7 linked regions of the Kluyveromyces lactis genome follow. The protein of the gene in region 2 binds, or shares a complex with, the protein of the main gene of each other region. Links are inferred from orthologs where the notes say so. Each region holds a gene or a part of one and is shown on either strand. Other genes may lie near its edges.

Region 1 (3,956 bases), on a different chromosome or scaffold from region 2:
CATAATGCGGATGAGGAACTTGAGCATAATGGAAATAATGGTGTTGATTCCGATTCAGATGCGGATTATGACAACCAGTCCTCTGGAAATTCGAACCCATCTGATGACGAATCCGAATCTGATGAAGATGGTTATAAGGGACCAAATAAATCAGCCAATGTACCAAAGATTGTTAACGAAAAATCCGTCATTGGTGCTAACGAATTGAAACTGATAAACCAATTAACCGAAAAGATCGATAACGGATTTTGTTTGAAGGGCTCTAAGTCTGATGCAGTTTCCTCCAATGAACCTTCTTCTGCTCCACGAAAGCAGCATTTATGTGAGAAATACGGGAAGTCGATCGGTATCATTGGACAAGGTGCCTATGGGGTTGTAAAACTATGCTATAAATTTATTGACCCAGATGAACCTGATCTGAAAGATAATACATATTTCCATGATAACAAGTTATTCTATGCGGTAAAAGAACTGAAGCCAAGACCTGATGAGCCTCCAAAGAAGTTTAGCACAAGACTAACCTCAGAATTTGTGATAGGATTATCGTTGAGTGGTGGTAACAAAAGCAGAAGATCTTCGGCAAGAACACATCCTAACATTTTAAACGTTATTGATTTAATGCAAACACCTAACGCATTTTATGAAGTAATGGAATTTTGCCCTTCAGGTGATCTATACAGCTTGATTACAAGAAGCTCAAAATCTGATTCAGTTTTACATCCATTAGAAGCAGATTGCTTCATGAAACAACTACTACATGGTATTCAATACATGCATGCTCACGGTGTAGCTCATTGTGATATTAAACCAGAAAACTTGCTATTTCTCCCTACAGGTGTATTAAAAATATGTGATTTTGGTACAAGTTCTGTGTTCCAAACAGCCTGGGAAAAGAAAGCACATTTCCAAACCGGACCAGCAGGATCTGAGCCTTATGTTGCGCCTGAGGAGTTTATTCCAAAACAACAATACGATCCAAGACTAGTTGATTGCTGGAGCTGTGGTATTATCTACTGTGTTATGGTTTTAGGCCATTATTTATGGAAAATTGCTATCAAAGGCAAGGATTCAGTATATGACGCATTCCTCGAGGATATGGAAAAACATGGACAATATTATGTATTTGACGAAATGAAACATGTGTCTCCAGGTATGAACCGGTACAGAACTGCTGCACTTTATCATATCTTCCAAGTTGATCCGAATAAAAGGATAACGGTGGATTCATTGCTAAAAAGTTCGTGGATGAAGAGGACAAAATGCTGCGTTACATATCCACCAAGGCCGGTGTAACACCAAAATTTGTTTCATAGCTGAAGGCCTTGCTACTTTGGCAGATTTAGATTAGTTTCTTTCGCATCATTTTTATCTATATTTAAGATAAACATACATCTCTTTGAAACACTTATAAAATATTGATATCACTGTCAATGAGCAATAAGTTGGTAGTCGCGTATCCATCATATTTATCATGGCATTTTCATAAACTTTACTAACGATATTTTCTATTTTTTATTATCTATATACATGATTCTAAAAGCCCTGCGCAGTCGTAATCGATATTTACCAGTGGTGAAACATATTTACAAAACTTTACTTGCTAGAGAGCAAATCTTGTTGTAGCCCTTTTCCCTTAGTTCTCTGCCGACAACACCATCGTTACCCATAATTCTTGACCCTAGAGGTTCACCATTATTCTTGTTGATTAATACACAAGCATTGTCACCGAACGCAATTGTTGATCCATCAGGACGTATCATATTTCTTTGCTTGGTACGTACCACCACAGCGTGTACAATATCACCTTTCTTCACTCTGTTGTTATTGGATTGCCCAGTAATAGTTTGTGTTAATGGTTTAGCCTTCTTCACCACACAGACGATTTTGTCACCTATTCTACCTGGAGATTTTGGCGAACCTTTTCCAAGTACTTTGATACATTCGGCAATTTGAGCACCTGAGTTGTCAATGACTTTCAAAAAAGACTTCAAATAAATCATGTTATAACAGTCACAGTGTGAACTTCAGTTAGGTCGTGTGCTGCAGGCTGCTACTGATCGGGAAAGCACAGCTTTTCTTCCTGGACTATCGTTAGAGAAAGGATTAAAGCTTTCTATGTCTGGTTTCATCAAATTTTTTCTTAACCCATAATTGATGTATATCACGTGATTGATTTATTATTGGCTAATCAACGCCATTATCAACGCTTACTACATACAAATAAAGTGCTTACAACGCCGTCATTGTTAAGACAGCTGGTGTTTTCATTAGTTATCGTTATATACTTCAGTAAAATTATTAAGTATTATGCTGTTGAGAATGGTAAAACATCAGAAAAAAGGTCAATGTAACAGTATGCGTTACTATTAATGCTATTGGTATGCTTGTTGAATTAAAAATTAAGGGTTATAACTGACAAGGACAGAATAGTAGAAAATATTTTGTTAGTTTAGGATTAGTTTCAATGCTTACCCAGAGCTACTTTCACCATATCAAGTTCCCATCTCCGGGTTAAGTCTTTCGTTAAGCAGCCCTTCACTGCGTTGAATAGACCTTGGAATTCCACCTGGTCATCTACACCCAAGTTCGAGTTCATATCACAGTTACAAACTTGGCGTAGTGTCGTTTTATCATATTTACCTGAAGTTATTATTGCACGAAGTCTGGGCTCGTATTCATGTTTAAAAGGTAATTTGCCGGTAAGCATGGTGAAAATTAAAACACCAATGGCCCATATATCAGCGCTTGGTCCAATGGGAGGAGGGTTGGGTTCTAGTAACTCCGGAGCAGCGTATGGTAAAGAGCCAATTCTGCTCATGTCATCGTTGATATGTTCATGCAAATCTTTGTTAGGTGTTAATGTAATGTCTGTTTTTTGGTTCAACGAGCTGGTTAGGTTAGAACGAGTGCTCTTTGGTACGGAGTGAATACCCAAAGTCGTATCATCATGAATTAATTTTTTATCGTTCACTATTTGTCTTAACCTTGATTTCAACCGTAAAGAAGAATTATTCGTTGAAGAGGAAGATCTTGGAATTGAGGGTCTTCGTTTCAAGTGAAGAGTAGACCCATCAAATAGGGATTTCAGTTGAATTGATTCATTTTCCATCTGATCTTTGAAATGGCCATAAAAGTGACTCATGCCAAAATCGCATAATACAAGCTTCCAATCTTTGTAGTTCTCAGACTTTTTTTCTAGAAGGCAATTTTCCAACTTTATATCTCCATGTGCAATGAATTTAGAATGCATATATTGTACAGCATCAATTAATTGTAACGCTAAGGCGGATGTAGCTTGACACCTTTCTCTTAAACTAATCTTTGAATTACCACATTCGCCCCAAGAAACAACTAAATCGTATAAGGTTCCATGATCGATCTTATCTGTTAAACAATATGCCACCAGATCATCGTCTAATTTCCATTTTGTTAAAGGAAGAATATTATTGTGGGAAAGTTTCGACCATATTGAGATTTCACGTAGTACTTGCCTCTTTACACTTCGATTGTCCTTGAACTTGATAATCTTCATCGCCTTGCAACAAGTATTATTCTGGTTTTGAGATTCATCTGTAGAAGGGAAACATTCCCTGATCATACCCCAAGCGCCGAACCCTATTATTTTGCCAAGTCTATGACCCAAAATGAAAGACCCTTTATCGTCCCTCTTGAAAGAACTAGAACCGGGGGTAAAAGAGTTCAAGTATTTCGATGCAACTGATCCATGTCTGGATCTCACGTTATGTGTTGAGCCACTGTGGCTTAATTTCTCACGTTTCAAAATGTTCATAATAGTCTTATAGTCATGGTTGGGACTTAAATCCTGTATGATCTTCTTACGTTGGGAAAATGGCATATTGATGAAATCCGATGGAATAGATCTCATAATTCTATCTAGGTCATGTTCTGATATTTCAATTTGGGCAGGTGGAGTTCTCAGAGACGATGCAGAAAAT
Region 2 (4,284 bases):
TGGTTCTGGGGTTTACAAGCTGAAGATCGACGTTAGACAGTTCGTCACACCATCCAACCGTAAGCTGGAGTTGAATGTAGTCAGTAGTCCCTACCATTTAGAGATTACTCCGAGCGATATTGGTAACAACGATCGTGTTGTGATACAAGAATTGATTAAGGAAGTCGCTCAAATGGAACAAGTAGATTTCCAGGACTCCAAGGATGGTTTGGCACATCGTTACAAGTGCGTTATCATCAACGAGGCAGACTCGTTGACTAGAGATGCCCAGGCAGCATTAAGAAGAACTATGGAAAAATACTCTGGTAACATCAGGCTTATAATGCTATGTGATTCAATGTCCAGTATCATTGCTCCTATCAAGTCTCGTTGCTTGCTAGTTAGAGTACCATCACCAAGTTTGCAAGAAACTGTGTCTATCCTGCAGGATTGTTGTTCCAAAGAAAAAATAACTGCCGAGGGCAATTGTCTAGAGAGGATAGCGAATCTGTCAAAGGGGAACTTGAGAATGTCACTCTTAGCACTAGAATCTACCTCACTACAAAATGAATTGCATTTAAGAAACGATACACCTTTGAACAGACCTGATTGGCAATTGGTGATCCATAAAATGGCTAGGAAAATATTAAAAGAAAGAACTGTTAATAACCTTGTAGAATGCCGTTCCATAAATTATGATCTATTAGCCCATTGTATTCCTGCCAAAACCATAGTCCATGAATTAACGACGCAATTGCTTTCAGATGCCCAGTCAGATCCGTTGAAGTTGGCAATTATCGATACTGCATGCACTTTTGATCACCGTCTCAACCTTGGAAACAAAGCAATCTACCATTTAGAAGGGTTCATTGCAAGGACAATGTGTGAAATAGATAAATATACGTAAGTATTAACTTTTGTAGTTTGACAAACAACCAAACTTTACTCATTTGGGACTTTAAATCTTGAATCTTTGATAGCCTATTTACAGATAGTGGGATTAGCTCTCACAAAAGTTATACGTAAAAGAGTCGTTTATATACACACATCGATCTATTTCAACGAGCCCTGAACATTCTATATTCCGGTTGCTGGGACTTCAACTTTGTAATATATTCCTTTGTAGGTTTCTTCTTTAGTTCTTCAAAGTAATTGATCTTTGGATCGTCCTTTGGATCTTTTACACTCTTGATACCTACTCTTACCAGAGAATCTTTCGATATGAATTCGTATAGGCCAGGAAGCTTGGTTGCTGCCTTTCTAAACGCCTCACGTGCTACTTTCTCGTGTAGATTGTCACCTGCCATCTCAAAGATCACTTTACCGGTGGGTACTCTGACCATCCAATGGTCAAATCCACCCTTACCTTTACCCATTCTGGTCTCATTACCCTTGATACAAACAGCAATGTTTGTACACAAACGACGCCATAATTGACCGTTATTCAAAGGTCTAACGTATCTCATAATAGCATTATCGGCTTCCTTCAACTGTAACGCAGTAAGTCTCACACCTTCAGACTTCAATCTTAAACCAAATTGACCAAATTGAAGCGAATTACCCTTAGTAGAGCCACCGGTACGCACTGGCACACGACCCTTTTGCTTCTTAGTCTGGTTCTTGAAACGTGGAGCATATTCATGTGTAAAACGCCTAGCGGTTACTTGCAGACTTTCTAATGGATTTAGTGAGCGAAATCCAGTCTTGAAAACGCTGGAAAACATGGTGATCTAATTTACGATAAAGGAGGCTCACTGATCTGAAATAAGATCCTTGCAATGAGGCGCGAGGGACTGTTTTATGCTGCTTTTCAAATCAATTTCTATGCTCTGGATCTTCTTTTACTTACTCTTAAAGCTTTTCATTATTGAAAAATTTTTGGTGAAGTTGAAGATATCTTGAAATCATGTGACCTTCTACATACATTCAAAAGAAGATACAAAAGTCTCGTTAAACAACACTTGATATACCTGTTCTGGTGATTTCAGGCAGTGAAATATCACTAGTAATATCATTGCTAAGGGATTACCTTTGTTTTGTTGATTGAATTGCCCCAGTTTTACTGTTATTAAGGGTTCTTTAATACCGAAACGATGTCGAATAGGACGATATTGTCAACTTTGAGACCATGTTTAAGGTTGTTTAGCACCTCCAATGTGGCATTACAGACACTTTCTGTGAATGGAAAGACGTACCCAGTATCAGATAAGACGAATGTAACTAGTTCGATTTTGAATTTGACTGATCGCGCTGTTTATTTGAAACCATCACACCCTGTTGGGATCTTAAGAAGTGTTATCGAGGACAAGCTGAACGACCCTCATCACTCATTCGAGATCTATAACGATTTCAAACCTGCGGTTACGGTACATGAGAATTTTGATTCTTTGGGATTCCCAGAAGATCACCCCGGTAGATCGAAATCTGATACCTATTACTTGAACGATTGTCATCTGTTAAGAACGCATACATCTGCCCATGAGTTGGAATGTTTCAAGAATATCAATGGGTTTGTTCCTGGCCATGTGGGTAAGACTGATAAGCCTGGATTTTTAATCTCTGCCGATGTCTATAGAAGAGATGAGATTGACAGGACTCATTATCCGGTGTTCCATCAAATGGAAGGTGGTAGAGTTTGGAAAAGGGAACCGGATAACCAACATTTATTAAAGATTAAAGAAGATCTCGAGAGATTGGAGAAAACTTTGGCAGACGACCCAGTGAAACTTGTCGTGGAAGATAACGTTTCCTTGGAAGGTAATCCAAAGCAGGAATACATGACGATGGAAGAAGTCGATTTATGTTCTCGCCATTTGAAAAGATCTTTGGAGCTTGTTGTATTGGAAGTCTTCAAGAGAAAGTTGGCAAGTATGGGTAACGTGAAGGGAGAAGAGTTGAAGGTTAGATGGATTCAAGCTTATTTCCCATGGACTGCACCATCATGGGAAATTGAAGTGTTCTGGCAAAACAATTGGCTTGAGCTCTGCGGTTGCGGTCTTATCCGTGAAGACGTTTTATTAAAAGCTGGATATGAACAAAATCAAAACATCGGTTGGGCTTTTGGATTAGGCCTTGACCGCATTGCAATGCTATTATTCGAGATCCCTGATATCAGATTATTCTGGACCCTTGACGAAAGGTTCCATTCCCAATTCAAAGAGGGCACAATCAACAAATTCAAACCGTACTCTAAATATCCAGGTACCATCAGGGACGTGGCCTTCTGGCTTCCAACAGATAAGAACTTTGACATTATCCATGAGAATGATCTAATGGAAATCGTTAGAAACGTAGCAGGAGATTTGGTTGAATGTGTCAAATTAATTGATTCATTCACACACCCCAAAACCGGTAGAAAGTCATTATGTTACCGTATTAACTATCAATCAATGGACAGAAACGTCACCAACGAGGAAGTCAATGAGCTGCAGGATAAAGTTCGTGATACCCTGGTGAAACTATACGGCGTTGAACTGAGATAACCAAGATACAAAATATTATATATAAATTCGTCGTATTTACTAGTGATGCGATTTCATGTTAATAGTATAAAAAAAATTCATTTCAATATGTAACGGTTAGTGATCAATAAGATCTGTGGGTAATTAGTAACCATACAGTTCTTTTTGAACACTATCTAAGAAGAAATACAACGACACTGTCATTAATTCATCGTCTGTTCATCGTTATTATCGCATATCTCTCTTAACAGCAAGATTTCAAGGTGAAAAATACTGAGATAGCTTACATATTACATGTGATGAACATCAAAGATTATATACTGTAAACGATTCAAGACACATTTAAAGCTGCTAAGAAGTATTTCGGACTACTGAAACCATGCAGAACAAGAAGATTGTCATATTGTATGGTTCTGAGACAGGAAATGCGCAAGATTTTGCGCATATTCTTTCTCATAAGTTAAAGAGACTGCATTTCTCACATACATTGATTAAGATCGGTGATTACCATCCGAAAAGCGTTCTGCAGTGCAAGTACCTGTTTATCATCTGCTCTACGACTGGACAAGGAGAACTACCGCGTAACGCAAGAGAGAACTGTAATGGACGGGCTCAGGGGACTCTCTGGCAGTTTTTGAAGAAATCTACACTTCCTGCGGATCTTTTAGATCATGTTAACGTTGCCATGCTTGGGTTGGGTGATTCCTCGTATCCAAGATTCAACTTTGGTATCAGAAAGCTTCATGAACGTATTGTCAATCAACTTGGCGCTAGTGAGATTTTTCCACGCTTAGAAGCTGATGAGTTGGGACTTGCTGGGAGTAATAAGGATACTGGAAATGGA
Region 3 (3,986 bases), on a different chromosome or scaffold from region 2:
CCAATTACATATTACCCGGATTTGTCGATGTATCAAAATTTTTTCAGCTTTAGTATAATGATTAGTTGGATTAAAATCTTGGAAGCGTTAACAAGAACGATGAGAACAACGAGTTGACGTTATATTACCCTTTGGAGAGGATACAATCAATTTTCAACTATTTCACGTAAAAACTTCAAAGACTTGTGTCTCTGAATAACCTGAGATTTTTTCCAATTTCGCTACTTAGAGGCTAATAGGGTCGGCAAGATGTTTCCAAGAATATTCACCAGGCAGTTCCAGATAACGTCCTTCCGTCTAGCGGAAGAAACGGGTACTAAGTTGACTAAAGAGCAACTTAGAAAGAGGGAGCTAAGAAAAATGGTTCAAAGAAGATTGCAAGCAAAAACTCCGGCCAGTGACCATCCACTGTATATGCCAGTTTCTAGAGCACTAAGATACTTACGTGCAATCGAAGTCGGGCAACCAGCAAGCCAACAAACCATCACGTTAACTACATTGGTGGTAGCAGAAAGAGGTGTCCCCCCTCTTACAGGTAATGTTTCCTTCGGCAAACCTCTTAAAGATGTGAAAGTTGCTGTCTTCACTAATGACGAGGCACAAGCGGCTTTGATGAAAGATAAATACAGTGTTCATTTAGTCGGCGGTTCAGATTTAGTAAGTCAAATCAAGGCTGGTGAAGTCAGTATCGACTTTGACAAGGCTTTTGCAACTCCAGATATTGTTCCACAACTTGCTTCTCAAGTTGGTAGAATTTTGGGTCCTCGTGGTTTACTGCCAACTGCCAAGAAGGGAACCGTCGCCGAAGATCTTGAGCCATTGATTAAAGATAGTATGAGCTCTGTTCCATTCAGACAACGTGGTAACAGTATTAGTTTAGGTGTTGCCAAGACCCATTTCACTGACAAGGAAGTTCTAGAGAACTTGTTGGCAACACAGAAGGCTTTCAAACAATCTATCACCAATCAACAAACGAAAAAACCAAGCATATTGTCCCAAACTACGCTGACAAGTACACACGGTCCTGGTATTGTGATTGACTTTGCTTAATAAAGCAACCCAATTTTTATGAACAATAACTGGAATTGTTGTCCTTGTCAAGATAGAATGAAACTTACTTCAGAAATAATGCCCATGTACATAGAAATCGTTAATAGAAAAAAGATTCCTTCTGCAATTGATAACTATAAACCTATCCGATAGAATCATCTTAATGTCATGCCAGCTTTCTGATGGCAAAGCTAAAATCAAAACTGTTCCGTTTTCTTAAAATACATAATGACGATGTGGATATATATACAGGAGATTCAGCCATTCTTTATAATCAGGCGCTTCCATAACGTTCCTGGTTTGATTGGAAAGTTGAACAGAACTAATAAGTCAAATACCATCTGCCTTTATTCTTTCTTCTTTTAAGTATCTGTTGTCCACTTCTAGATCTTGCCCTTGCTAGGAACCCCACTCTTCTCTTTCTCTTTAAAGTACTCGGTTGGAAAGTGTTACCTCTACTTTTCCATCTTCTCTGAGTCAAATCGAACAACATACCAAATATTGATGAGCCATTTGCTTGTGTTTGAGATTGTAAAGTGATTTCCATTGGATTGACTTGCGCCAAAGGTCTATGAAGACGTGAGTCTAGTGTTCTTAAAGGTGAGAAACTAGAGAAACTGGTTAATGTACGTTTTGAGGTCCACTGAAGAAGATTTCTTGTTATAAAACTCATAACGACTGGATGAGATTTTATTTTAATTGTTCTTCACTTCGAATTAAATCCTTATCGATAACTAATGAGTAGTTCGGGCGACTACTTTTAGGAGACTTCGTCTTCAAGAAATATGTCCTGGTTTCTCTTCGTTTGATTTCTTTGAATTCAAATTTTTTCTTTCTCGAGACTAATGTAAATGTATGAAAATATCGATGGATGTTGGAAATAGTGAAAGCATCTGTGGAAGCGAACAAACTTGGCTTCTAGCAAACCGCTGAAACTTCAAATCGGTCTTAGACTAGTCTGTTACAATAAGTGTATTGGCGGTTTCATTTCCTGGCTAACATTATTATTAAAGTGTTTTCTATTTACATTGAGCTAAAATGGTAGCTGTAGGTAAATTATATATCACGTGATGTGTGTTCATAAGTCAATTATGTTCTTCCTCAAGGGCAGCAGCTAAGTTCTCGCTCAAATTTTCCTTCGACAGGACAAATCCGCCTCTAGCAAGTTCACTTATTTCGAACTTCCCATCTTTGAAAAGGTAAGATCTGCTGGCAACATTTTTATACAATCTTTTCGTTCGCCTATTGAGATCTGGGTCGTTAACTATTGACGTTAATATAGACTCTGCATCTGAAGTCAGCACCGGATTTTGCGAGTAGAGCAGGTCACTAATTAGCTTGACCTTTTTCTTAAACAAGTTATCGATCCTGATGTCGGCTATATCGAAACCATCAGGTTTCATTCCGATCTCAACGATTGGTGCCTGGAGTTTTTTTGTAGCGCATAGTTTCGGATTTGTCTTCAAGAAATAGTAATGCTCGAAAATTTGCCGTAGTGTCTCCTTTATCTTTTCTGCAGGGAGTCTTAATACTTCTGTAATTTGAGTTGATTGAAGACCGTCAATTCCTGTGATATCTTTTATAAGTTCCTCATTCGGAGTCTGCCAGTTTTTCGGCCGCAGCCACTTATGACGATTGAAGCTCAAGAAATCCAAAGCATCCTTATTGTTACGAGACCATAAAATCGTTTGAGATGTTAGATTTGGGTCATCCATTTCTAAAATCGAGTGCTGCATTTCATAGGGCCAAAATTTTGCCAACTCATTAGGGTATTGTCTCAATATGTCTACGTGTTTAGGAGGATCGTTCAACAAATGGAAATGAACAGAATAGACTAATTTCTCCAAGGTCTTGCGTGTTGGATTCTCATTGAAAGAGTTTAACCGATGTAGCGTTTCATGTTGCTTATTCTTGGGGAAAGTGTCCACCTTCGAAATGGCGTCTTTAGTTATTGAATGAAGACCCTTGTATAATTTCGAAGTTCTCAGAAGACTAGCCTTCATCGTCAACCTCCAAAACTGTTGTCAAAAAAATACGCACAATACTTCACAGTATGTCCATTCGATTATGACCTATTTTAAACAGTAATAACCTTCGTCTTTAGATTAATACAGAACCTCTTCCGAGCCTGTTCTCTGTATGAAGATCGTCATGTGTGTGCTCTAGGCTAGAAAATTTTCGTACCTACTTACTATTCCATATTGCAATTTGGAAAGCCAGACACGAAACGAAACCAGGAAGAACAGCGACACAAACTCACATTTTGTAGTAGGCACTGCTACTGCTCCTTGTTGACGTGGGCATAGTCTCAAAGCATCGCGACATTCCGGATTCTTTTGGAGTATTTTCATGAGTACTAAGCAATGAAGATGTATCCAGTATCACCGTAACATCCATACACCACATATACTCAGTTTGATTCACCAAATTCGATCAAAAACAACAACACAAATATACAAACATAACAAAAACTGTCTCAAAATTTACAAACAGTAAGAGCTCAAGGTCGTTCAAAGCCGAGCAATCAACGGTAAGATATTCCAATTTTGTCTGTTAAGCTAGCGTGAAGTCAGACTAGAAGAGATATTGGCTATATACAGATTCAAATAGCTATGCCGAACGAAGGGAAGGAGAATATCATATCCGTCCAAGATCCTGACAATGATTTGGGTCTGAGGACCCCTCTAAACCAGATGAAGCGGACGGACTCATTAGTACGGGGCAACAGACGCCCACTAGCTAGCAAAGATAATAACAGGACGCAATCTATACTAAGTGTGAAGAATAATGCTGCGTTGGGAAAGAGTGATCACCCTTTAAAAAGGCCCGCCAGTAGCTTTATGAAGAATATGCCTGAAAATAAACTGAAGAAATACGGAAGTGTCCTGGGGATGAACACTTTTATGCCACGAACGAAGTCATTGGTGCTGAAAGAT
Region 4 (4,624 bases), on a different chromosome or scaffold from region 2:
CACATCACGAGTAAGCATCTGGACAAAGGTGTCCAGTTTATCAATCCAGTTTATACCGTTTCGGCCCTGTTTCGCTCGTTCGCGATGACCTGAATTGGAAAAAGAATTTTTTTTTTTCACTCTCAATATGACTCAGCTACACCATTCAAACCTTTGATCCACCGTTCCATCCTTCTATGAAGCACTTCTCTCATCTGCTTTTGTTCTACTTTCCCCATATATATAAGTTATAAGTGGGTTTTTATATCTGTTTCCACTGTGTATATTCTTTCTTGGTTACACTTCGTCTCTGTTCCACTGAAAGGTTAACGAACTCAGTCGAAAACCTTCTTTAAGCAATGCTAAAAACTAGAGTGGTTCCTCTAGCATTGAGAAGCTTTGCCAGAGCAAAGTCTTCTTCGACTTCGGCTCTTGCTTATAAGCAACTGCATAGAAATAAGGCAAGACCTCCTTTACCAACGATCGAAACTCCATCTTGGTCTACTAACAGTGCCATCTCATCGATCCTATATGAAAATCCAGTAATCTCAAAGGAGCCAAAGAAACAACATGTTTTGAACTGTTTGGTTCAAAACGAGCCAGGTGTTCTATCGTTAGTCTCAGGTACTCTAGCTGCAAGAGGCTTCAATATCGATTCCCTTGTGGTCTGTAACACTGAAGTGAAAGATTTATCCCGTATGACCATTGTGTTGCAAGGTCAAGACGGTGTCATCGAACAAGCCAGAAGACAAATCGAAGATTTGGTACCAGTATTTGTCGTGTTGGATTACTCTCATTCCACCATCATAGAAAGAGAATTGTTGATGACAAGAATCTCTTTGTTGGGTGCTGAATACTTCGAGGATTTGATTCATCACCATGAACAAGATGAAAATACTGATACCGTTGAAAGAATAAGACAACAGCAATTCCATCCTTCCAACCTTCCACTGTCCCAAGTATTGAGATTGAAGCATGAACATTTAAACGACATCTCTAACTTGACTGGTAACTTTGGTGGTAAGATTGTTGATATCGCTGAACAAAGTTGTATTGTGGAATTATGTGCTAAACCATCCCGTATCTCTGCATTCTTGAAACTTGTGGAACCTTTCGGTATCTTGGAAGTGGCAAGATCAGGTATGATGGCTCTACCAAGAACCCATTTATCTGTCGGTGATGAAGATGATGCTCAAAGCAAGATGAATGACATCGTTGATATCTCTCAATTGCCTCCTGGTTGATCCAAAGGGCTCACCTGCCATAGTTTTGTACCTCAAAACAATCCAATATCAAAAAAATAGTAATGTAAGAGTATGTTTTGGATTTTGTCTCACACATATAGACAAATTAAATACGTTAACGATATAATATGGAATTAACCTTTCCAAATGATATATAGTCTCTAAAAAACTTTCGTTTTTTTCAGTTTAAACTATGATGATTGTTGTGGTTCTTTTGTTAATATGTACAAGGCTCTAAATGGTTTGTTACGTAACGACTTGGGGAAGATTTACAATTTGCTCAAGAAATCGGTCTTTGGTCTTGTAATGACATCTATCGTGTTTTGTTCGTAGTTGTAACGTCTGGTGGTTAGATTTTTCTTGGAAGGTTTGAGTGGTTCTTCCAATTTCTTCAATTCTGTTTCTGGTTTCACTGGCTTCAAGAATTTTCTGCGTAGTCTCACCTCTTCAGATAACGTCAAGAAGTTCTTTGCATCAGTAAACTTGGCTAGTACTTGCTTCTTACTGTTCTTGTCCTTAATATCAATTGCCTTCAAATCAGTAATTAGTTGTGTCTTTAGAGTATTCTTTTCTTCTGGAGAAATGTATTTAGTTAATTCAAGCTTGTTGTTAAATGACAATGATTCATTCAATTTGGTCGAGACCTGTTTCAACAATGTTAGTTTGTCGTCCAACTTAGATTTTTCTTGGTTTCTCATCTTCAATTTAAGTTCTTGTTCCAAATAGTAGTACGAATTAAATCGGGCATCGGATTCATTGAACCCATTCTTCAAACAAGTTCTCCATCTGAGCAAATATGGTAATGCAAACGCAAGTTCTTGTTGATCCAGCTCAACTTTCAGATCTGAAATTATCTTGCTGTATTCTGCCTTCAACTCTTCACGTTTAATCTCACGTTCTTGCTGTTTCTTGATCAATTCATCCTTCAGCAAATAAATCTTTCTTGGTAAAGCGTTCTCTTCTGCAATGGCTTTCTCTTCATCCTCAATGATGGCCTTGCCGAATCTTCTCAAACGTGGTTCGAAATGCGGCAAAGGAAGCTTTACATCCTTGTATAATGATACACCAATGAATTTCTTACCTGGATGAAATGGATCCAAATAGTATCTCACATAACCCGGCTCCAAAGCGAAAAGCGTATGATCTTTACCGATGCCTACATTTTCACCAGGATAAAACTTGGTACCACGTTGTCTCATGATGATCTCACCAACTTGAGTGGCTTGACCCTCGTATTTTTTTGGACCCAATCTACGACCAGCAGAGTCCTTCATACTGGTACGAGAACCTGCTGCACGCTTGGTTGCAGTACGCACCTGCTGCACCACAAACTTGGGAACTTGTTGCCACGAAGATGAGAACATTATGCGTTGTTTCGTAGGCCTGGTCCGAACAGTATCAAGCAATGTCACAGTAACTGTATTTCTGCGTGTATCTGTACTTAATGTATTTAAGATAGGATTTTAGTGACAAAAATTTTCCACAGTATGGCGGATTGTAAGGTAGGGTAACAACGAAATCCAACAAGATATAGCCCTTCGAAGGTTCGTGTAACTGACTGTTTAAGAGTTGAAAGTATTGATTTATACATTTTACCAATTTCATCTATTGCTGAGAGTTCTTTCGATACCATAGTGAATTTTTCATGCTTGAGAAGGAGTAAACGTCTAATTCACGTCAAAGTTATTCGAAACTGAGGTTCCAATTAAAGATCTACCATCACTATATACGTTTTGATGTTCTCTTCCAGCACGAAAAACTCATATTTCTCTAAGTACAAAACATCAAGAAACCGACACTGCTTGCATCGAAAAGAAGTCTTCACCTTTCAGATTTACGTTTGAATAAACAGGACGTCCATTTATAGAAGTTTCCCAAATTAATTATCGTGCTGGTGAAGCCCATATTATCTAATTGAAATAGGAATACTAAGAACCGACAGCCCATAGATAAAAAAAAAATAAAACAAAATATATCAGTGATTCTAGCGAAAATGGCAACGGAAGATAGATGGGGTCTTGCCGTGACTCAATTACAAGATCTATATAAAATAGGAGATATTGCGGGGTTTGAGTCTTTAGATCCGAAGAATATGAATTTCCAGAATATGAATTTGAATCAATTGGCTGATATCCATGAGAAATTAGAGGCTCGTCAGTCTGTAAATGAAAAGATGAGAAATTACTGCAGAGATTTGGTAGAGAACATTTCATACATATTAGATAATTATCCAGTGGAAGAGGAACCTATATTAAAGGAGGAATCCAGTTCGACGCATATCCCTGAATCGAGTGTTGTTGGTAGATCACATTGGACCAGTCAATTCAACCCAAGTGAACCAATTGAGGTTGGTTCCGAAGTTGCATATAAATCTAAAAAGACTGGCGAATGGATCCAGTGCATATGCACAAAAGTTTCTGGGGACGGACTCCGGTTTGAAGTGAAAGATCCAGAACCCGATGAATTTGGGAAACCAGGTGGTATATTCAAATGTAACTCGAAAGAGATCCTCTTGATCCCGCCCGTGACTATGAAAAGAACCCAGACTCCGAATTATCCAGCGAATACAAAAGTTTTGGCAAGATATCCAGAAACAACGACTTTCTATCCAGCTATTGTTTGCGGAAGCAAAAGAGATGGGACATGTAAGCTACGATTCGACGGTGAAGAGGAAATAGACAAGGAGACTGAGGTGGAAAGAAGATTAGTTCTTCCTTTCCCCTCTAGACGATGAGTTTCTTAATTATATCACGTTCACGAAATGTATGTAATTTTCCATAGCCTGTAACAATAAAGAAAAAAAAATTATGAAAGAACATTAAATAAACCGTATCACATTGAGATAATGTAGGAACTAGTAGCGGTGCCTGTTTGTGATTTATCGCATCAGACGCGACAGACATTAAATACCATAGTTCTAGTTTCTTATTGTCGAATATTTTGTATATGATTCATGGTGTACCTTTTTAACAAAGTGACACTTAAATCAATAACAAAACTGTGTTTTGTGCTATTGTTAGTGAATCTGGTTCTAAAACTGATGAAGGCTCCAATTTTGCCTTTATTATTCCGGATATTAACCACCTGCCCAGCGAACAAAGATGTATGTATCTTTTGGTGGCAGAAGTATTCGATAGTAGAACAATGGGTATGGAGGTTGATTGATTATATTGATTCAGAGAGACTTCAGGTTCCACATGAACAAGTTTAAGTCACCATTTCAAAGTACATCTAGTAAATCGTGATTGCTTTGCAGTAATAATTTTGTAAGTGTCTCTTACAAGTCAGTGAGATATATAAATCTGTATAATATTATGTTTGTCATTACAGAGGTTGGGTTTGTGCTGTTGTTCTAAATATCAGTGTTTAGCTCAACACCACCAACGGTCCAGATTTCATTT
Region 5 (4,429 bases), about 600 kb from region 2:
TCTTCATTGTGGACAGTCATTTAGATGGGTGATTCAAGAACACACGGGTTTTTTCTACTCGACTCTAAAGTTAGATGATAGCTATGATTTGGTGATGTTGAGACAGCTTGATGACAATTGTATTGAATATGACTGTTACAAGAGGGCGAACCTGGAGAAACTTGAGTCACATCTCAAGGATTACTTTGAACTTGATGTATCTTTGAACAACTTAATGACTCAATGGTCAGATGCTGATCCTAAGGGATTTCAAAATAAGGAACATAGAGGAGTGAGAGTACTGAACCAGAATCCCTGGGAAACTTTATGCTCTTTCATTTGTTCTAGTAATAATAATATATCAAGAATCACTAAAATGTGCCATTCCTTGGCCACTGAATTTGGTGATGAAATTGCAGAGTTTGATGGTGCTAAGCAGTATTCGTTCCCAAGTTCGGATCAGATCGTAGAAAGAGCATCTGAAGAAAAACTAAGAGATCTTGGCTTTGGTTATAGGGCCAAATATATCATTGGAACTGCTCAACTGATGTCTATGGAAAAAGGCGATATGTCTGATTCAGAGTATATGCTCAGTTGGCGCATTAAGGGTAAAATGGGGTATCAAGATGTCAAAGAGAAGTTGATGGCGTATCCAGGTGTGGGTCCGAAAGTAGCTGATTGTGTGCTTCTCATGGGAGGGTTGGGATTTGACGAGGTAGTTCCTGTCGATGTACACATCGCAAGGATTGCATCGAGGGACTACAAATTAAACAACACTAAGCAGGAAATCAGTGAACTGCAGGCTGAATACAAAAAGTTACCGATTACACGTAAGAAGGTGAACTATGAACTTGATATGTACAGAAGGAAGCTCCAGGATCTATGGGGCCCATACGCGGGCTGGGCACAATGTGTCCTTTTCGCACAAGAAATTGGGAAAACAGTTGGAGCAAGTACAAGTGATAAATTAGTGAAAAGACGCAAACTGGACTATGATGCATCTGGAGAAGAAGAAGACTTTAAAGTTGTAGTCAAAGACGAGGCAGAGATCAGTACGGAAGATTCTTTGTCCACGGTTAAAATTGAAGATACTATGTCGATAGAGTATAGCATTACTGGGAGGCCGCTACGGAGAGCGGTAAAAAAGGCTAAAAAGGTCTATTGAATTAATTGACTGCAAATAAAACTCTCTTTAAATACAATTCTTATTCGTCAAATTAAAGTGTTGTCGAAGGAAATTTTTTGTTTTATATTCCGTTATTTAAGTTGGTGTATACATATGTACAGGAAGGCTGGGTTCATCCAAATGGACGGTTACACTTATCTCTTTATACAATCACTTCGATGGCATTAATATCATAGTGTATTAGCGTTGTTTTTTGCATCTTCTTCTTGCAGCTGTATTTCCGCTTCTGTTACCTTTGCCATTTGAGCCTCAGCTAATTTATTAACATATTCTTGAACAGTTTCCAATTCATCGTATCTAGACACAGAGGAGCCATTTTCTCTCAACTCCCTTACCGCTTGACATGCTTCTGCGATGGCAGATTCTGTGTTTTCTGATGTATACAGAAGGAAGGATTCACCTGCATCCACAATTGTATTGTTAGATTCTTCTAAAAAGTTCTTGATGTCCTCGTTTCTTAGTGCAAATTTCTTTAACTTCAATGTTGCAACCGCTTTCAATCCATCCACAAATGTTCTGTCCACTTTGTTCTCATCGATGTACTCAGAGATACCGTATATGGCATATTGAAAACGTTGCAATGATTCGAAAATCTCTTCATCTTCGTTAGCAGGAGCTTCTAAAAAGTCTTTTTCGAATGATTCGATAAATACTTGTTTTTCAACAGCAAATTTCTCATTCGCTATCTTGAATGCCCAGTCTCGTTCGCTAAGGACGTGTCTTATTCTCCACATTGTCGTTCTGATCTTTTCGGAGATATCTTGGTATGCTTCGGTTTGTGCTTCAAAGTTGAACTGCACCAAATGGTTTTCACGTGCTAATACGTTACGTTCTTTCAAACATGTGTACCACAAAGAATGTAGGTCAGTGAACGATTTTCTTCTCAACTCTGGGATGGTCCAAGGTCTCGAAAGCGTATCCAATTCCTCGGGCGTTCTTAAAAACTTCTTCTCGGAGAAAAATTGCCATAAAGGATGATCATCTGGACATGTCAAATTGGCAGCAGCCGGTGGAATAGGAGCTGTAATCTTTAAATCATTATCGTGATGGGTCCTCTGGGTAGGTAGTCTAACGTTCTCTCTCTTGGCTGGTTTGGGTTTAGGTTTGGTGAATCTCGTCCTGGCACATGCTCTAGAAGTAGTATGCAATCCCCTTCTTGCTGGGAACATTTTGAAAATATAATATCCCTGCTATAATAAACACGTCCTGCAGCTACTCAATCGAGGTAGAACACTTCAATATCACGACAGCTAGCTGATTCATCCATGTTTTAATTCCTATTCAGCTTTCCTCTGCTTAAATGTTATAAAAATTTTTTGATCGAACAGAGTTGATTCGGGGTCCGTCATTAGGTTGCCCGGCCTTTGTCATGTGATAGTCACGTGAATATCAGGTTGACTATTGACTCTCTTAGTGAAGCATAGTGCAATAAGATGATAAACTAGCATCGCATATCCTGGCCATCTTTCAACAGGTACAGTATCATTCAAAGATGGTTGGAAACGTGTACCTTCCCTGGTTTAACTGATTATTCTATAATTCAGAGCTTTCCATTGACATCGAAATTCAAAACTTCAACACTTTTTATCAATTAGTACGTTAACAATAATTTGGTGATTAAGTATGTTATGGAGGATGCTCTGGAGTGTGAATGGAACTAAGCCTTGGATTGTATATCGACTACTCTACTATACCTGGTACTCCATTTGATAAACTGACAAAGGAAACCATTCAACCTAACTGCTGTACCCTCTATCAATTGCATTATTGGTTATTGTAAGAATACGACTGCATCATAAATATAGAAGACATACACACTTTACGCCGCAAAGATGTCTGATACGCCTCTGGATCTATTAAAATTGAATTTAGACGAGCGAGTATATGTGAAATTACGTGATGCTCGTGAATTAGTGGGTACTCTTCAGGCTTTCGACTCACATTGTAATATTGTTCTTTCAGATTCAAAGGAAACCATTTATGAACTAGTAGAAGGAGATTTGAAAACGACCGAAAGGTTTTCGGAAATGATTTTCGTTAGAGGTGGTCTTGTGGCCCTTGTAACAACACCAGAAGATGAATGATTGTCCAGTATCCTTCTTCTTCTTTCAACATTTAATAAGGGAAATTCGAAGAAATAACTTCATGTCCTCATTATTGATTGAGTGCGATGTGAGCTATCCTCATTTTGCCCCCAATATACATCCATCGCTAACATTTGTATAGTATATATTTAGTTTATTCAATTTTTTTTTAACTTTCGGTTTACAGTTACTTAGAAACTATAACGTTAATTGCCATGGCTTTGATTTTATGTCCTGCATGTCCACCATCGACAAATGTGGGTAGCGTTTCCTGTTAATTCGTTTTATATACTGTTCCGTCTTTGTAACATGTTTTCTTTGTCGGCATAAGCAGAAGTTGTGGTACCCGCAATTGGCGGTAATTCGTTTTTCTCTTGCAGATGTTGTAAAAAGTCATGACCGTACGCGTAGCCTACTTGGTATATTTCTTCAAACTTACCAAAATCCAAAGTCGCATAGTTCTCAATAGGAGGCCTGATGTACACCACACCTGGTGTACTTTTAGCCCTTTCTAAGGCATTGACAGAAGCAACATATCCTAATCTCATTTGTATTTCCGCCATATTAGGAATGTTGGGGTGTTTCGAAAATGGATTCCATCTATTTAAAACAATCCAAAATCCGTTCAAAGAGTCTCCGTATGACATTGGAGTCCTATCATCGACTGATCCAACGTCTACTGCAAACACAATTTTACAACCTCTCTGTGTCATTTCGGTCACTGGTAAGTTGTCGACATAACCTCCATCTAGTAACATATTACCGTTATCCACAATTGGAGGAAGAAGGCCCGCAAGTGACATAGAAGCTCTAATATAACGCCATGCAAAACCTGATGAGTGAATCTCTTGAACTGACTCTGTAATATTCGTCGAGTTACAGTAATATGAAATCCAAAAATCTTCAATCCTGTAGTCTCTAAAAGATTTCCATATACCACGATTAAACTCATGTCCTGTAGTGTATGATGTAACTGGCCAAGTCAAATCACTTAGCATTCTCCATAGTGAACCAACTCTACCAGCGAACTTCTTGACTCGGCCATATATAGGAACAAGATCGTAGTCCATGGCATATAAACCTCCAACGAACGAACCAATTGACGTTCCTCCGATTATATCAATTGGAATTCCTTGCTCCTCTAGAGCCTTAATGATACCAAGATGACTTAATCCACGTG
Region 6 (4,222 bases), on a different chromosome or scaffold from region 2:
GGGTACGAGTATCAACAAATAATCTAATGAAGTCTCCACTGTAGGCGGTGTACGCAGTTTACTATTCTGTGTTTAGGGCAAAACAGTCTTTTTAATGACGACGAGAAGCGGTAATGATTTCGTTCATTTCTTCAACCTTAGCCTTAGCTCTACCGAAAGTTCCCAATCTCTTCTTTGCGACCTTTCTAGCTCTCTTTTCACCAGCGTTTCTGATCAATTCGATCAATCTTCTTTCGTATGGAGCCAAAGAAGCGACTTCCTTAACGATAGATCTGACGAAAGTGGTTCTTTGGGAAGCAGCACCCTTTCTGTAAGAAATCTTTGGGGCTGGGGTCAATTGGTTGACCTTCTTACCTTTGTTCAAACCAACAGCAATACCTGTAAGACAGTTATAAGTATGGGTATTAACAACCTTAAGTTGTCAATAGACATATAAATATACGAAAATGTTAGTAAATCATGGTCCTTTTAGATAAACAGAGGTTCCAAACTACGTTGTCTTCTTTTGAGAGAGGGGCGGTGCACCAAATACGTGCACTGTCTTACCATGAATCATGTCTACACTTTTATAATCATCGATATCTGTGCTGCAATCATAATTATGTCACTCATCTCACTTTCAATAATTCTTTCCTCAGTGCAATGTATTCCCACAATATATTACTGTTCCTCGTTTGATTCATTTGGTTATACGGTCTTATTCCAATTCTAGGTCCTTTGTTACTGATATCTCCCTCAAAATATTCGTTCGTTCGCTAGTTTCTTCGTTCATTCATTCATTCAAATCACATACCTGACTTAACGGCCATTTTGTTACTCTTTGTCGTTCGTGATGGTATTAAAACAACAGATTAAACAAGCTGTAACACTACCATATATCTATTAACAGTGTATATATTGATGCTCTAATCGTCAGAAAATTTTTATAATACTTTGAAAAATTGTGAAAAGCTGTAGCAGTATAGAAGTTCCAGAGGATGATTACCCGGAGGAGTGTTTGGGAGGGTATGGGAAGTGAATGGAAACCATGAGATGCCTAGCCTGGGGTCTAAGTGGGCAGTCCAGCGGCCAGTTTGGTGGAATGTCCAGGCCCAGACCGGGCAGTCCAGCTTAGGGAGGAAACGGGACAGGCCCTGCCCAGCTCGAAGCAAGCAACGAAGACGGATGGGATGTGTCTGTGCATCCTACCGTCAGCTCAGCGGATTTGGTGGACATGAGAAAATAATTTCCTAGTATGGAAACATTCTCATTTTCAGCAGAAATTGAGTATGTATGGGTGCAACAGTCAATAATGTCTGGGTGCAACAGTCACATGCACACCGTTCAATTCAATTGAACAGTGGGTGATTAACTCTTGCATCGGTCAGTCGGACAACTAACGCATAGTCTTCAAGCATCCTCCCAGCTCATGGTAGAATCTATTTTCTCATTGTTTACAAGCTTTTATATAAAATTGGAACAAAATCTATTCAGTTCTCATACAGTAATCGTACTCAAATCGAAATTCAAGGCCTTTAATCTCGATACGATGTCTGCCACGTCACGGGTAGCAAATTGGTCCATGAATTTCTTAAACGATAGATCTAATCCATCCGCTTTGTGTTCCATCTTTTCCAATGGGAAAAGGGTATGCAATAGTTTACGCTTACCAGCAGTAATTCTCAATGGTTCTCCATCGACAACAACTTTGTACAATACGGTGACTTCGTTGCCATTGGCATCTGTGACAGTCTCAGCGTCCTTATGTACAGGATTGGCAGCTTTTTCCTTAGAGTTCAGTAGTCTGTAACGGAGTTTCCAACCAGTAGGTCCCAATTCCTTAATTCTGGCGGCCTTTTCCTTAGTCAAATAGTTGTCAATACCACCTTCCTTGGTAATTGTTCTTAAAACTTTTGCTGTCATCTTAATACTAATCTTTCTGTTCAAAGTCTCACTCCATAGTCCTTTTCTAATAACGTTTGGACTCCATGATCTCCTGGTTTTTGTCTTCGATTCAGCGATGTTATTACCGAATTGGATGAAAGACGCACCGTATAAACCTTTGTTACTCTGTTTGTAAATTGGAGATTCTCCGTATGGATAATCAGGGAATTCCTTCTTCTCCTTTGGGATATATAATGGCTTGCTGTCGCCGACTTGATACGTCTTTGGAGTTGGGATCTGTCTGCTTTCAACTAATCTCCATTCTCTGAGGAGGTGGCTAAGAGTGGAAAACCCTCTTTGGGAACTTGGAAAAAACTTCATTCCAGATGAACGATCTCCGTGCTTATTGGTGAACGTACAGAGACTCTTAGACCAACTAGCTTCATACTAGGTTCAAGCTCCTTCTCTTCACCTTAGTGCATGTATCAAGTCGTTATTTTCTAAAATTTTGAATAAGCTTTGGAAAGATCAAAACCGTATACAGCGAGAATGGTAAAGCATAAGGAAATTTATGATTAGAATACACCTCTGCGTAATGGTTGGCGGTATCATGTATGTATGAAGGGTATGTATATATGTACGGCTGGATGGATATTGTGAATGAGGTCCCTGTTGCAATTTTTCTCATTTCTTCCATGGTGATTTGAAAGCCCAATTCCCGAGACGATTTCCCTTTGGATTGGTGGCATCTTTGGTCCAAGTCTTACCTGTGCGTAATTCATAGTTCTCTTTTTCTAATTCGTCAAGGCGTGTTCTGAGCTCTTGATTTTCGTCCATAACTTCCAGATTTCTTTCCATTGTTCTATTCAAATCTGCTTTCAAATCTGTGGGAATTTCAGCATCTGGATTAGGTAACGTTTGTTTATAAAGTTCACGTTCCAGTTGTTTCTTCAAATCTTCTATCTCTAGTAATAAATCCTTATTTTCGTCCTGAAGAGTTTCCATCCGAAGTCTGTTTTCAATTAGTTCATTGGCAATAGTGATATGCTCTCTGTTTAATAGCGAATAGTCATTTTCTAATTTCTTCAACTCTTTTTGAAGCTGTCTGTTTTTAATTCTTTGTTCCTCATATTGTTGTTCCTTTTCCGTTTCCAACTTGTGAATCTCATCGTACTCTTTCACGTAACGCTCCAATTGCAATGGAGTTAATTTGATTTCCAACGAATCAGAGATGAATCTATCAATATCGTACTCTTCTGGGTTCTCCTTAGAAGCATAGTGTTGGAAAAGGTCCTCCTTCAAGAAGTCTAAGAGAGAATCGAAACTGAGAATGATCAAATTACGACTGTTCTTTAACATCAACGTTAAACTGAATTTTAGCATCGATTCGATACCTTCAAGTATGACAATATCCATGATTCTGAGAACGAATTCAAGGGGAAATTTGTATGCGAACATCGTCAGGAACCATTGAGTTGCAAACATTGTAGATCTTATTCCCTGCCTGATCAAATGGTTATACAATTGAGGATCATTTTCCTCCAAAAGTGTATCAAATTGGTACAATTTCAACATCAGGCCAGGCATTCCCGGCAAGAATAAATCCCTTAATCCGTATACTTTCATGAGTTTCGTTAATAGAGAAAACGCTTGCCATTCTTCTTCACAGTTCAATATTAAAGTAGTAGCAATAAAACCCATGCCCTGTGTGTAACCAACTGGTGGGTCATAAAGAGAGTAAGCCTTGAGCACGCTGAATAAAGAATCTGTCTTACCTTCTGGGATGAACTTCGTTCTAGATAAATCTCTTTTGATTGCCTTTTCATGCGGTGACTCCAATAGAAGTAAGGAACAGTATAACTCCTCCATCTCCTTGTAATTTGAACTGGTTAGTAGCTGCCATATAATACCACGGACTTGAGTTGGGATACCTTTCCCTACTTCAGTTTCTAATTTCTTTGAGTCATCCTTGACTATATCGCTAAAATTATGAACCAGCTTACTCCAGAATGGCCAATCGTATTGTACCAATTCTTTGTCCGCATGATCTAGTAAGCTATCATATTCTTCTCTTAGTGTCTTGGTACCTTCTTTTGCATGCTCACGCTCTTTGTCATCTCTTAGTTCCAATTCGGTTTCGTTTTGAATGAATCTGTTCAATATCAAATCGAAATCACTGCTGTCGGAACGTTTATGCTGATTAAAATGAGCACGAAACTTGGGAGACTTCATTTCCTCGGACAATGGTGGAGGTACGAAATGTACAGGTCCAGATAAAGACGTTGCCACATGAGATCTTGAAGGAAGTGGTGGTTTCTCTCCCGCAATGTGGTCCCTTGGAGGTAAATGTGGTGGCTTA
Region 7 (3,685 bases), about 1.0 Mb from region 2:
TTTCAACCAGGTGACCGTGTTGAAGTGTTGACCGGGGAACAACGTGGATCTAGAGGTGTGGTGACTAGAAGTTCTAAAGACGTCATCAGCGTTAAACTATCGGGCTTTTCAGATAAATCATTAGAGTTCCCAATTGCATCTCTAAGAAAAATTTTCGAACTTGGTGACCATGTCACAGTAATAGCTGGTGAACATGAAGGTAACGCTGGTTTGGTTCTTTTGGTGCAGAACGGTCAAGTCACATTTGTTTCTGACCAAACTAGAGAAAATTTGACAATCTCTGCGAATAACTTGAGTAAATCTATGGATTCTACTCCGACATCAAGCGAGTACGCTCTACATGACATTGTTGAGTTAAGTGCCAAAAACGTGGCATGTGTGATCCAGGCTGGACATGATATTTTCAAGATTATTGACGACTCCGGTAAAGTGGCTACTGTTACTAAAGGCTCAATTCTTGCCAAGATCAATGTAGCAAGAGCGAAAGTAGCTGCTGTCGATGGTAATGGTAGAGAAATAAAAATTGGCGATGTAGTAAGAGAAAAGATCGGTTCCCGTAGAGAGGGACAAGTACTCTACGTTCAAAACCAACATATTTTCATTAGATCGAAAACAATAACGGAAAATGCCGGTGTTTTCGTTGTTAATCCAATGAATGTCGAGGCTGTCGCCTCAAAAGAAAACTTGATGTCGTCAGCATTGGATTTATCTAAAATAAATCCAAATATTGCGTCTAAGATGGGACCACCACAAACTACTCAGCAGACGCGGTTAGTTGGCCGTGACGTCGCTTTGAACAAAACTGTTAGGATACGTTCTGCGGGATACAAGGGGCAGTTGGGTATTGTCAAAGACGTCAATGGAGATAAGGCTACTATTGAATTGCACTCCAAAAATAAGCATATTACAATAGACAAAAGAAAACTTACTTACTTCAGTCATGAAGGTGGTGAAGGTATAACATACGATGAACTTGTTAGTAGACGTGGTAGAACTCCACATACCAGATTGGGCCCAAGCTATGTCAGTGCACCAAGACACATGGCTGCCGGTGGTGCGGTGGCAACGAACACTCCGCAACAACTTCCTGGTGGAATGACTCCTGGTTGGAATGCATTTGATGGCGGTAAAACTCCTGCGGTTGGCCAGAACGGAGGAACTTCATCCTGGGGTGGTGCTTCGACATGGGGCGGACAAGGCCCTGGTGGTGCTTCTGCCTGGGGTGGAGCTGCTGGAAACACTTCCACCTGGGGTGGGCAAGGTGCTACATCAACTTGGGGTGGTGCGTCCACTTGGGGTAATAAATCTAGTTATGGAGGCGCCTCTTCTTGGGCAGCAAGCGGAGAATCAGGAGCAGCTTCTGCCTGGGGCGGTGGCAATAAATCAAGCTATGGAGGTACTTCTACCTGGGGTGGTAACCAGGGAGGTGTCTCTGCCTGGGGTGGCAGTGGTAATAAATCACAACGATCTAAAAACACCGGTGGAAGTTCCACTTGGGGTAACAATCAATCGCAGCATAACTCAGGAGAGAGATCCGCATGGGGCAATGCATCCCAACACAACAATAGCGGCAATAGATCTGCTTGGGGTAATCAGGATGCTAGAGGTGGTGGAAGTACGTGGGGTGGAAATAATTAGAAATAATCATACAAGTTATTGCCTCACGATAATTTACAAACCTATCAATTGTTCATCTTATTATCTCCAAATTACTCCACGCGATGTGGATGTTGTATATATAGTCTTGCCCAAATTAGTCTCAGAAACCAATTAAATAAGTGAATTAAGTAAATGTAATTTAGTTAAAAATTTCGTTTCTTTACTACAAACCGATACTACTATAGAACTCTTAAATCACGTCTATTTCAACGGTAGTTATTGCAGTGTGAGTGTTTTCTATATACATGCAAATGGTGTGGTTAAATTGTTAAATACAATTCATTAACGTCTTGCGGTACGTAAGAAGTCCAATGGTTTCCTCTCTGCAACCTTTCTTTTCTTGGCCTCTTTGAACAAAACATGACGTTTAGCTACAGGGTCGTACCTCACCTGCGTCACTAATGGTGCAGCTCTATTTATCGTGACATGACGGCTCACACCTGTCATAGCAGTTGATATCAGTTTGATAACTGTAGTCTTTGTCTTAGCCTTGGCCATCGTTTTCCTGTTCGTTTGCAGTTTATATATGATATCCTTAGCTCTGTGAAATTCCTTGAATTTGAATTTGAGACAGAGAAGTACGCAGGATAATATTACTTTCTGCCCTTAATACTTTCCGATGATACACCGTCCTATGCAGAAATTGATGAACTCCCACTACTTTCAGTATTGATTGGGTCGGATACATTGCTAAAGAAGAAGTAATGGATAATCAAAATTTTGTCAAATCACTACATACGTTTTGATGAATATGCAATATACATAAAAATGATCCGTACTTCATATCACGTGAAACAGATACATATTCACAAGTCAAGTTAAGTATTCGCATATAGTTACTCTACGCTTTTATCAACAAGAAGGTATTAACTGAATTGATTGGTGTACACAGTACGGTATAATTAAGGTAACTAATTAGTGCTGGAGCTTACGGATCTCTGTTACACCCGTGCAACACGATATACATTACTGATGAAAATTTTGAAAATTTTCCAAAGCTCATCGCATAGAGACAGAGGCAAAATCAGCGAAAGAGAAGAGAAAAAAATGGAAATTCAAATGAGTTCTAAGTTACCTGCTAAAATAAACGTAATGGTAAGGTGACCCTAGAAGGTGCATAGGGTTTCATCCAGCTGTTTGATAGAAGAAAGGAGTATACTGCGCCAAGTGTATCCGATTTACGTGTTTCAATAAAGAACTGAAACAAAAATTTGAGACTATCATCTGTGCGAAGTTTTTTTCTTCAAAGAGAATTAATTGATATCGATCAGATTATCTACAGACCCATAACTTGAAAGGAGGATATTTGACATACCTCAAATCAGAATTGGGCTTCTTAATTGTTGATAGTATAACACGCGTCTAGAAATTAAAGGAATTTTTTCTACAATCCTATTTTTTTAAGGAGATAATACAAAGATTCACAACATGTCAGCTATTCCTGAACCAAGAATCATCGAGAATGACGATGGTTCCAAAACCGTCATCAGTTTCAAAATCCAAGATGGTAAGAAGTACAAGGTTACGCAGAAGGTTAAGGAAATTACTGTCACCGAGAAAGTTAACAAGAACATCGCCTTGAGAAGAAATTGGAAGAAATATGGTGCTGATAAGGGAGCTGCCCCAGGACCAGATATTTCAACCACTCAATTAGGTGAAGAATTAGAGTTAGACTTGTCTCCTAACTGGAAGGAAATGGAAGAAGAAAAGGCAAAGGAGAAGGCTGCTAACTCGACTCAAAAGGTAATTACTTGTAGAATTTGTGGTGGTGCGCATTTCACCATGCATTGTCCGTACAAAGACACTTTGGGAAAGAAACCTACTACATCTGCTGGTTTAGACCCGGCTATCGGTGGTGGAGATATGAGCGCTCAAGGAGGCTCTGGCTCTGGCAGATACGTGCCACCATCCCTACGTGCTGGTGCTCGTGATCCATCTTCTAATGCTTACCAAGACCAAAGAGAACGTGATGATGCAAAGACTATTAGATTGACCCAGGTTAACGAACTTGCAGATGAAGAAGTGC

Evidence for each region.
Region 1: MRPL16 (region 2) and MRPL38 share a complex: the UniProt entries of both Saccharomyces cerevisiae proteins name them as parts of the mitochondrial large ribosomal subunit. The link is inferred for Kluyveromyces lactis from reciprocal best matches to the Saccharomyces cerevisiae genes MRPL16 and MRPL38.
Region 3: MRPL16 (region 2) and MRX14 share a complex: the UniProt entries of both Saccharomyces cerevisiae proteins name them as parts of the mitochondrial large ribosomal subunit. The link is inferred for Kluyveromyces lactis from reciprocal best matches to the Saccharomyces cerevisiae genes MRPL16 and MRX14.
Region 4: MRPL16 (region 2) and MRP7 share a complex: the UniProt entries of both Saccharomyces cerevisiae proteins name them as parts of the mitochondrial large ribosomal subunit. The link is inferred for Kluyveromyces lactis from reciprocal best matches to the Saccharomyces cerevisiae genes MRPL16 and MRP7.
Region 5: MRPL16 (region 2) and MRPL4 share a complex: the UniProt entries of both Saccharomyces cerevisiae proteins name them as parts of the mitochondrial large ribosomal subunit. The link is inferred for Kluyveromyces lactis from reciprocal best matches to the Saccharomyces cerevisiae genes MRPL16 and MRPL4.
Region 6: MRPL16 (region 2) and MRPL24 share a complex: the UniProt entries of both Saccharomyces cerevisiae proteins name them as parts of the mitochondrial large ribosomal subunit. The link is inferred for Kluyveromyces lactis from reciprocal best matches to the Saccharomyces cerevisiae genes MRPL16 and MRPL24.
Region 7: MRPL16 (region 2) and MRPL39 share a complex: the UniProt entries of both Saccharomyces cerevisiae proteins name them as parts of the mitochondrial large ribosomal subunit. The link is inferred for Kluyveromyces lactis from reciprocal best matches to the Saccharomyces cerevisiae genes MRPL16 and MRPL39.

The regions. Positions count from the first base shown.
Region 1 is NC_006037.1:613,023-616,978, reverse strand, and holds MRPL38 (mitochondrial 54S ribosomal protein uL14m), read right to left. Parts: upstream 2,001-3,956; coding exon 1,584-2,000; downstream 1-1,583. Other genes in the region: putative serine/threonine protein kinase KKQ8, read left to right, coding at 1-1,293; protein kinase NNK1, read right to left, coding at 2,462-3,956. UniProt on the Saccharomyces cerevisiae protein: Component of the mitochondrial ribosome (mitoribosome), a dedicated translation machinery responsible for the synthesis of mitochondrial genome-encoded proteins, including at least some of the essential transmembrane subunits of the mitochondrial respiratory chain.
Region 2 is NC_006038.1:1,063,410-1,067,693, reverse strand, and holds MRPL16 (mitochondrial 54S ribosomal protein uL16m), read right to left. Parts: upstream 1,704-4,284; coding exon 1,038-1,703; downstream 1-1,037. Other genes in the region: RFC5 (replication factor C subunit 5), read left to right, coding at 1-886; MSF1 (phenylalanine--tRNA ligase), read left to right, coding at 2,073-3,461; TAH18 (NAPDH-dependent diflavin reductase), read left to right, coding at 3,820-4,284. UniProt on the Saccharomyces cerevisiae protein: Component of the mitochondrial ribosome (mitoribosome), a dedicated translation machinery responsible for the synthesis of mitochondrial genome-encoded proteins, including at least some of the essential transmembrane subunits of the mitochondrial respiratory chain.
Region 3 is NC_006042.1:1,780,561-1,784,546, reverse strand, and holds MRX14 (mitochondrial 54S ribosomal protein bL34m), read right to left. Parts: upstream 1,724-3,986; coding exon 1,373-1,723; downstream 1-1,372. Other genes in the region: MRPL1 (mitochondrial 54S ribosomal protein uL1m), read left to right, coding at 250-1,050; GEP5 (Gep5p), read right to left, coding at 2,136-3,053; PDS1 (securin), read left to right, coding at 3,663-3,986. UniProt on the Saccharomyces cerevisiae protein: Component of the mitochondrial ribosome (mitoribosome), a dedicated translation machinery responsible for the synthesis of mitochondrial genome-encoded proteins, including at least some of the essential transmembrane subunits of the mitochondrial respiratory chain.
Region 4 is NC_006042.1:1,139,019-1,143,642, forward strand, and holds MRP7 (mitochondrial 54S ribosomal protein bL27m), read right to left. Parts: upstream 2,588-4,624; coding exon 1,493-2,587; downstream 1-1,492. Other genes in the region: ILV6 (acetolactate synthase regulatory subunit), read left to right, coding at 339-1,223; SGF29 (Sgf29p), read left to right, coding at 3,217-3,957; GCN1 (Gcn1p), read right to left, coding at 4,576-4,624. UniProt on the Saccharomyces cerevisiae protein: Component of the mitochondrial ribosome (mitoribosome), a dedicated translation machinery responsible for the synthesis of mitochondrial genome-encoded proteins, including at least some of the essential transmembrane subunits of the mitochondrial respiratory chain.
Region 5 is NC_006038.1:466,932-471,360, forward strand, and holds MRPL4 (mitochondrial 54S ribosomal protein uL29m), read right to left. Parts: upstream 2,335-4,429; coding exon 1,336-2,334; downstream 1-1,335. Other genes in the region: 8-oxoguanine glycosylase OGG1, read left to right, coding at 1-1,144; U4/U6-U5 snRNP complex subunit LSM3, read left to right, coding at 2,998-3,249; NTE1 (lysophospholipase), read right to left, coding at 3,534-4,429. UniProt on the Saccharomyces cerevisiae protein: Component of the mitochondrial ribosome (mitoribosome), a dedicated translation machinery responsible for the synthesis of mitochondrial genome-encoded proteins, including at least some of the essential transmembrane subunits of the mitochondrial respiratory chain.
Region 6 is NC_006040.1:1,063,485-1,067,706, forward strand, and holds MRPL24 (mitochondrial 54S ribosomal protein bL28m), read right to left. Parts: upstream 2,245-4,222; coding exon 1,477-2,244; downstream 1-1,476. Other genes in the region: KLLA0_D12540g (60S ribosomal protein eL36), read right to left, coding at 92-378, 794-809; KLLA0_D12584g (uncharacterized protein), read right to left, coding at 2,548-4,222. UniProt on the Saccharomyces cerevisiae protein: Component of the mitochondrial ribosome (mitoribosome), a dedicated translation machinery responsible for the synthesis of mitochondrial genome-encoded proteins, including at least some of the essential transmembrane subunits of the mitochondrial respiratory chain.
Region 7 is NC_006038.1:66,195-69,879, reverse strand, and holds MRPL39 (mitochondrial 54S ribosomal protein bL33m), read right to left. Parts: upstream 2,158-3,685; coding exon 1,942-2,157; downstream 1-1,941. Other genes in the region: transcription elongation factor SPT5, read left to right, coding at 1-1,638; TIF35 (translation initiation factor eIF3 core subunit g), read left to right, coding at 3,088-3,685. UniProt on the Saccharomyces cerevisiae protein: Component of the mitochondrial ribosome (mitoribosome), a dedicated translation machinery responsible for the synthesis of mitochondrial genome-encoded proteins, including at least some of the essential transmembrane subunits of the mitochondrial respiratory chain.